2 linked regions of the Oryzias latipes genome follow. The protein of the gene in region 1 purifies or fractionates together with the protein of each later gene. This does not show direct contact. Links are inferred from orthologs where the notes say so. Each region holds a gene or a part of one and is shown on either strand. Other genes may lie near its edges. The genes, in order: strap and csde1.

Evidence for each region.
Region 2: the proteins of strap (region 1) and csde1 purify together in Homo sapiens (affinity purification with mass spectrometry; 3 studies listed by BioGRID and IntAct, counting the BioPlex papers as one, with this or other methods). This does not show direct contact. The link is inferred for Oryzias latipes from reciprocal best matches to the Homo sapiens genes STRAP and CSDE1.

What each region holds. Positions count from the first base shown.
Region 1 is NC_019881.2:4,535,900-4,540,250, forward strand, and holds the start of strap (serine-threonine kinase receptor-associated protein), read left to right. Parts: upstream 1-1,490; 5' UTR 1,491-1,768; coding exon 1,769-1,880; intron 1,881-2,304; coding exon 2,305-2,440; intron 2,441-3,162; coding exon 3,163-3,244; intron 3,245-3,967; coding exon 3,968-4,040; intron 4,041-4,117; coding exon 4,118-4,217; intron 4,218-4,351. UniProt on the Homo sapiens protein: The SMN complex catalyzes the assembly of small nuclear ribonucleoproteins (snRNPs), the building blocks of the spliceosome, and thereby plays an important role in the splicing of cellular pre-mRNAs.
Region 2 is NC_019865.2:1,564,165-1,567,976, reverse strand, and holds part of csde1 (cold shock domain-containing protein E1), read left to right. Parts: intron 1-784; coding exon 785-897; intron 898-977; coding exon 978-1,097; intron 1,098-1,185; coding exon 1,186-1,364; intron 1,365-1,442; coding exon 1,443-1,606; intron 1,607-1,690; coding exon 1,691-1,823; intron 1,824-2,552; coding exon 2,553-2,600; 3' UTR 2,601-3,812. UniProt on the Homo sapiens protein: RNA-binding protein involved in translationally coupled mRNA turnover.

The sequences.
Region 1 (4,351 bases):
ACCAAAATTTTCACCTCAAAACAGTTCAATCTCTGCTCAAAATTAAACTTTGCTGTGAAATCGTGCCCCGAGTCAGTCAAAATTAAAAGCAACATTGAACTATCACTAAACACTACATGGAAAAATAGAAAACACAATGCTCAGGACATGAAGCTGGAGAAATAAAAGTTTATTGTTGACTGTAGGCTCAATGCATGTTGCAGAAAACTTGTACAAAAATAGAAAAAAAAATCTTGAGCATTTACACATAGCACTTGTAAAAACAAACGAGCGTTTGTGACTTGTGTAGTTACAAAAAGAATACACGGTATTCTAGGCCTACAAACTGTTATACCAACCCTCCACTACAATATTACAATATTACAGTGCATTAGTTCAGTGGTACAGTAATTTCTGGCAACATTTACTTATAATGCCAATAAAAGGCATTTTACCTGTTCTTTACCCTAAATCTTCGGATCATGGTGGACACAGTGAATCTACTGGCGTTTGGTTGTACCTGTTGTCCAGCCTCCCTCATGCTAATCCCATGGACAAGCACTTTGTCGATCCCAGTAGCTCTGATTTCATGAGATGTTACTGTTCTTTGTCTTTGCTGACCACCTCAACCACCATGAACTCTTCCTCTCAGATTTCTGTCCATTGTAGGGCCTCACAAACCAGTGCTCTCTGAACTGGCTTACTTTATATGTTCTCCCACAAGTGTGATCAGTTTTGAGTTGTTGTGTTCAAGTGGGGACACCTGTGCTTTCTTTGTGTTTGACTTTTGTCACCTGTGCACACCTTTATGCAGCACGGGTGTATCACAATGAAAATGTGTTGCCAAGTCGTGTCTAAACAGGTGAGAAGTACTTATGGTTCGGCCAAAGGAACGTTCGATGCAATCAGTGGGTTCAGGCAACTGGGCATTTGGTTCAGACAATAATAGGGTTTAGTGTTTTAGCAATTGAGAACAACTGTAAGCGAAACTTTTCCTGTAAACAATATCAATAAATTACAGTATAGGTACTGGTTTGCAGCAGTAAAACTATATTCATTAATGCAGATATATAAAATCCCTACATTATATAACAGACTCTTAAACGTTTGAGTCTCTGGGTGCTTAATAATTCCATATAATTATTTGACATTTAAAACAACTGAATTAGTTTTTTTTTATTATTATTATTATTTAGTTAGTTAGTTAGTTAGTTAGTTAGTTAGTTAGTTAGTTAGTTAGTTAGTTAGTTAGTTAGTTAGTTAGTTAGTTAGTTAGTTAGTTAGTTAGTTAGTTAGTTAGTTAGTTAGTTTAATGTACGTAATGTCCTGCTAATAAAAAAGAGCTTCCCTGTTAGAAAATTGAGTAATTCTTAGAAATGAACCATCTATTGTAACATTTTCTTTATAAAATTCAATAAAAAAAACAAAAAACAACGTTTTTCTCCGTTACTTTCATAAAAAAAAAACGAAAACACCTGACAGACGGATTTTATTGTGAAATTCCCCGGAAGTGTGTCGTGTCTCGCGGTTTTGTGTCGTCATCGTAACTGCAGTTACGCACGTTGCTAGTTAGTTGCAATGTTGTAGCTATTAGCGCGAGGCCGTTTCTTCTCTGGGGGGGCCAAACCCTGAAGGACACCGACCCCCGCTCCTCACACCCGCACCCGCTCGACTGCTCCCCGTTACCCGACAGCCGCTCCTCCGCTCCCGGTTCGTTAGCGGGCCCCGTTTGTTCGCCGCCTCCTTCCGCGAGCGCGACGGTTCCGGCGGCGGCTGAAGACCACCAACCATGGCCATGAGGCAGACCCCCCTCACCTGTTCGGGTCACACCCGACCCGTGGTGGACCTGGCTTTCAGCGGAATCACGCCTTTCGGATACTTCCTCATCAGCGCCTGCAAGGGTGAGCTCCAGCAGGCCGTTAGCCGGCGCGGGGTTCCGGTGGCTCGGCCGTTAGCGAGCCCCTCTGTCTGTGCAGGCAGAACCCGATCTGGTCGTGTGTCGGTTCTGACTTAAAACGATCCTAGAAAACTCGTAGAACAGACCTGGCGGATCCGGTTCTGATGAATGGTCTGATTTCTGAGCAGAACTCTGTCTGTAGGGAAGTTGTGGGTCTTACTGGTAACTGTAATCCATGAAAGTAACGAGAGTATCAAGTAAGGCTCCTCAGGGATTCCTCATCAAACTCTAGGAAAAGCTAGTAATTAATGATTATGTAACAAAACTCAGGACTTGGTTCAAGCCCAACAGTTACTTTGGCAAAAAAAAAGTAACTGAGTAAATGTAACTACCCGCCTCTGGTTCTGATCCAATCCCTTCTGTTAAAGATGGCAAGCCCATGTTGCGCCAAGGAGACACAGGAGACTGGATCGGAACGTTTCTTGGTCACAAAGGTGCTGTTTGGGGGGCCACTCTGAACATGGACGCCACCAAAGCCGCCACCGCCGCCGCCGACTTCACAGCGTGAGTAGATTTGGGAAACTGCCTGTTTTCCCAAGGAAAAACACGCTTCTTTCCTACTGGGAAAGCAGCCTTTTCCTCCAGGAAAGTTGTTTTAATAGTAGGAAACAAACTACTTTCCTCCAGGAAATGCACTGTTCTACCTGCTGGAAATGAAGAATTTCCCCCAGAAAATGAGCCTTTTTTTCCAGGAAACTTTTTATTTCACTGGCTTCTTACCTAGGAAAAAAGCTTTTGTTTTCCCCCCCTCCCCTGGAATCAGGGTTTTATCTAGGAAAGAAGCGGTTTCTTTTTCTCCAAGATAACTAGTTTCTGTGGATTTTTTTTTAAGAAGTTGGCTTATTTTTTTTCTGGGAGTCTAAACGTCTTTCCAGTAGAAAAGAAACTCCTGACAGTAGAGTTGCTTTTTATTTTCAGGCACCCTGACTTTGTTCTACCCTGAAAACTAGCTTGATTTTCCAGTGTGCCTTGGAGGCACGTTAGCCCTGGAAGTTGGGTCATCTAGACCCACTAGACAGTGCTCTGAACCTTTTTTCTTCAATGATTTGTGATCTTCACTGGTGTCCATGGATTACATGAAATCTTTCCACCTTTGTCATCGTAGGGAGAACACGTCGATGTAAGGGTGGGGTCATGTTGCTGCTTTGTAATCCGTTGCCCCCCAACACTGACCGTCCCTCTATGTTCCCCTGTCACACGCTTCTGACCGTGTCTGTTTTCTGCAGGAAGGTGTGGGACTCGGTCAGCGGAGACGAGGTCCTGTCTCTGGCGCACAAACACATCGTCAAGTCTGTGAACTTCACTCAGGTCAGTGTGGCGCCAGGCGTCTCTGCTTTCTTTGTCCGTGTCTGCGTATGCGGGTTTTGGTAGAACCGATGTGGGTTAAAGACCCCGTCCTGTTAAAATGGTGGTAATTTTTCTCACGACGGAGAACATATAGACAGAAAATTAAGCTCAAAATAACATTTCTGATGTTTAATTTTTCAAATCAGGAGCAGACACAAAAATGTCATATATGTGACGTAGGAAATAGGCTGGGGAGTCTAAAGCTTCCTGCTCTGCTCCATTCTGATCATCCACCTGCAGACAAATAGATCCATGAACGTCTTTGTGTTCCTGGTCTGAGCTGGAATCTGGATCAGGACTGGACGGCTTACTCCACACCACAACCAAGAGGCTCATTTCTGATGAAGTCCTGCCGCCCTGCAGAAACTATGTCCTGGAAAATGACCAAAAACCGCATCATCATCATCATTAGAACACTTTGAAAATAAATCACAAGATGATTGGAGTGGCACCAAACTGTAATAGTGGGCCAAACGTAACAACTTTAGCTCATCAAACATCACAGCAAACTGAACCGTAAAGAGGAAGTGCTTAACGCTGGGACACCATCTATACAATGATTGTAGTCACAAAGTGCTCCGTGTTCCTGCTGCTTTGATTTTACAAACATGAGACAGATAAAGCTCCTGGTGAACATTCATCAAGCCAGATGGAGGACAGTAAATCTGTGCTTGTGTCTGTTAGGACAGCAACCACCTTCTGACGGCGGGAAACGACAAGCTGCTGCGCATTTTCGACCTCAGCAACACCGACGCAGGTGAGATGCAGTTTGAAGGTACTTCTGCTAAACACGGCATCATGTGACCCCCCCTCCCCCCTCCCTGTGTTCATCAGCCCCACAGGAGATCGCAGGTCACGGCGCAGCCATCAAGAAGGCTCTGTGGTGCAACGACGACAAGCAAATCCTCTCTGCAGCCGACGACAAAACCATCCGGTCAGTTCTTCTCTGAACGTGGGTCCTGCCGGCGCTGCCGGCGCCCTGGACGGTCCCTCCCGGATGCTAGGAGAGTCCGAATTCCTTCCGTTCTCAGTATATAGTGCTTTTGACATTTTGTAGTTATGTCTGAA
Region 2 (3,812 bases), on another chromosome or scaffold:
AAAGACATCTGCTATTGACGGACCAGAACCAGAATCTTTTTCCTTTTGATTTGGATTTATTGCCACACCCTTTTCAGAGTACCGAGACGCTCCGCATAAAATGCAGCAACTGACTCTCTAATGTTACACGTATGCTAATAAGTTTCATTCACTGTTGAATATTGTATTTAGAAAAATGTAATGTTTTATGTCACCTTTATTTATTAAAAGGTGACAACTTAGACATTTAAGGGGAAAGCTAAATTGCCTTTTAATGGTTCTTGCATATAGTTTGGGTTTAAATTGGCTGCAAATCTTTTACAGAGAAAGAAGATTAAATAAAATAAAGTTGCTGATTTGTGGAAACTTGTCAAAACTAAAGACTAACACTTGTGAGGAAACTTAAGCACAGAAAATACTCCCTTTGTTTTGAAAAGAAATGTTTAATCAAACAGCATTTATCAAACAAAACAAATGATTCATTTTTGCCATGAAAAATAAGTTTTTGGTGTGGAAATAGCTTTCTTTAAAACAACTGTCTGTCTTTTTAATGAAGTCTTACAAATCAGAAACAACTTTCAGTGAATCTCCATCATCTATAAGACGTCTACAGACTTTGCTCTATAAGCAAAGTGTCACATAGAAGCGCTATAATTTGAAAAATCGATTTTCCGGAAGCGCATAATAAATTAAAGATCCACTTTGGCTTGTGGCCTGAAAAGGCTGAGGGCCGCTGCTCTGTAGGACTAAATCGGTGAACGCCACCTGCAAAGATCTTTTACACCCAGATGTGTTTAATCCTCAGTGAAATGTGTGGAGATCTGGATAATCTGGATCTGGGCGACACTGTGGAGTACAGTCTGTCAAAGGGAAAAGGAAACAAAGTCAGTGCTGAAAAGGTCACCAAAGTGGCTGCAGGTACCTGAAGGTTTCATTCATTCATAACATCCATTTAAAAGGTTCTGATCACTCAATGAAAGTTCTCTCTTATTTTTTAGTGAACGGGACGGGCGAGGATGTTGGGACAACAATTCTGACAGGAAAAGTGATCCGTCCCATCCGCAGCGTGGACCCCTCCCAGGCCGAATATCAAGGCCTCATCGAAGTCATAGATGACGGTCGGTGTTGCTAGAGCAGCTTCTGTCATTCCAACTTCCTCCTTTTCACTCTTTTTATTATTTTTTGTTTTTATTTTGTTTTGCCCAGCTGGAGGAAAAGGACCGTCTTACCCCTTTGGAATTATGGGAATGGCAAACAAGGGAGACTGTTTGCAGAAGGGAGAATTTGTAAAGTTCCAGGTTTGCACGGTTTCCCAAACTGGCCAGAAGATGGCGTGTAATGTGGTTCCCCAGCGCCGGGCTGTGGTGGAGTGTGTCAAGGACCAGGTATGCTTGATTTCTCTGGCTAAGCCGTTGCCGCCGGCGCCGCAGGTTTAAGCCGTGGGCTCGTTTCCCCTCCTGCAGTTTGGATTCATTACGTACGAGGTGGGCGACAGCAAAAAGCTGTTCTTCCACGTCAAAGAGGTGCTGGACGGCCTGGAGCTCCAGACGGGCGACGAGGTGGAGTTCTCCGTGGTTCTGAACCAACGCACGGGAAAGTGCAGCGCGTGCAACGTGCGCCGAGTCAGGTGAGGGCGGGAATGACCACCGGGGTTACAGCTGGGGTTTCCAGCTCGTCTTGTACAACTTTCCTCACGCCCGTTCTTTTTTAGCGAGGGGGCTAAGCCGGTGGCGACGCCGCGTCCAGACCGCCTGGTGAACCGGCTGAAGAGCATCACTCTTGATGACGCCAGCGCTCCTCGTCTGGTCATCCTGAGACAGCCTCGTGGTCCGGACAGTTCAAAGGTAAGCGACCTCTGACGCTGCGTTCCCGTCGCGCGGCGGAGGCGTCCAGTTTCTCGTTTCCTGCGTCACGTTGGGCGTCAGCTGTGGAGGAATTCTCCAGTCACGGCGTGTTTTTGGGGCATGTTTCCAGATTTCAAATACCTTAACTTTGGTGAATTATTCAAATCACATCAACCAATCAGGAACTCGGCTTTGGCCTGTGACGCGTTGATGATGCGATTAGTGGGTGGAGTCTAAAAACAACACAGAGGAGAATCTGATCGTTCTCCTGAATATATTTTTATTTTTTCCCCTCCTCCACTGACGCGGGACGACTCGTCAAACTGGGACAGAGGTGGAAGTAGCGCTGAACGGGTCTGGTACGCAGACGGTGAAGCTCACCGTACCGGCAGAGTCCCTGAACGATGCCATGAACCCGAACATGGAGGCGGGATTTTCGATGTTGTTGTAGCGCTCTTTAAAATAAATCAGCTTGGTCAGTAGATCATTGGTACTTAAAGATTCTTAGTTCTGAACCGGTAACACACGGCAGGAGCGGCAGGTCTATGAACAGACTTTTGGACAAATGTTCAGTGGGAGGAGGAATTCGTGTCCGGCTTAGCCGTACCTTGACGCCAGCACTCGTCTGTATTTATGGTCGAGCGATGGACCCAAGAGTTGAGCTTGAAGGTGCAAAGACGCTCAGACATAGCCTCCAGGATCTGACATCTTCTCCCTCTTCTCCCTCAGGGCTTCAGCGTGGAACGCAAAACCCGCCAGCCGGGGGTGATCGACTGAGCGGAGGCTCCCGCTGCGTCTGTGCTTGGCCGCTGTCCTCGCAGGCTCCAGCAGCACAAACTGGAATTTGATTTGATGCTTGCACATCAGCTAACCCACAAACGTGCGCACACATGCAGCCGTTGGCGTGTCCGTTTGGCCATTATGCATCCCTGTGAGGGAACTCGTCTCGCTCCTCCACCGTTCCCTACCTCCCACCCATGATTGAATCGGTAGTACCCCACTGCAGCCTCCGTGGGTTCCTGAGAGTGTGCGTCTGTGTGTGTGTGTGTGTGTCATGTTCCCCAGAGGTTAAGTGTGTGTGGCTGAGGGATTTGTTTCAGTTTGTCTTTTTCCAAATTGGCGTGACGACTGGCTTTCCGTGTCTTGACCTCTCGACCAGGCTCTGTCTGGAATTCTGCACCTGTAATCGGTCCGTGGACCCCCCCACCCCGCTCCATTAATGTCCTTCATGCTGTTTCACTCACGGAAACCTCAAGTATTTGATCAAACTGGAGCTTTCCTACACAATGCGTAGATGGGCGTCGGCTCCGTCGGGACGCCGGGACTCTCCTCTGCTCGCTTTTTTGAGCAGTTTTAAATGCTTGACTGAAGAGCTGAAGTAAAAGCATGGAGTTATGTCTGGGGGGGGTGTCAAAGTAGTTGCTATACTTGATGCTGACGTGCCCCCCTCCCCTCCCCGTCCCTTAGCGGTTTTTTCTCTTTCAGGTGCAGAATTCCTCGTTGCATCTTATATTTGCGATTCTTTTATACTCTTTTTCATTTCTGCACATCTTTTTTTTTTTGTTTTTTTCGGAAACTCAGTCTGCTATATTGAACGTTACAAATAAGGTGCCTATTAATAGCAAAGTTAAATAAAAATCAAAATAAAAGTAAGATGTCTCCTCTGTTCCTAGCACACCACCAACATATTCAGAACAATCTTAAGGTGGCCCCCCCCAGTAGAAATATTGCTATATGCATCCCAGAAATGTGGGTTCATCTATACTGTATGTAATGTGTGCTTTTTTTTTTTGTTTTCTTTCTAATAAAAAGATCAAATATAATAAATTTAATTTAACGGAAAAAAGTAAAAAAAAAAAAGATCAGCTTTTGAAATTAGGATATTAGTTTTTGCTCTAGAGAGATGATGTTCCTCTGCACGATGACCTACAGCAGAAACTCCTTCCTCTGGACTTCATGGGGTTTTGGTTGGATGACGTTCAGAGGTTC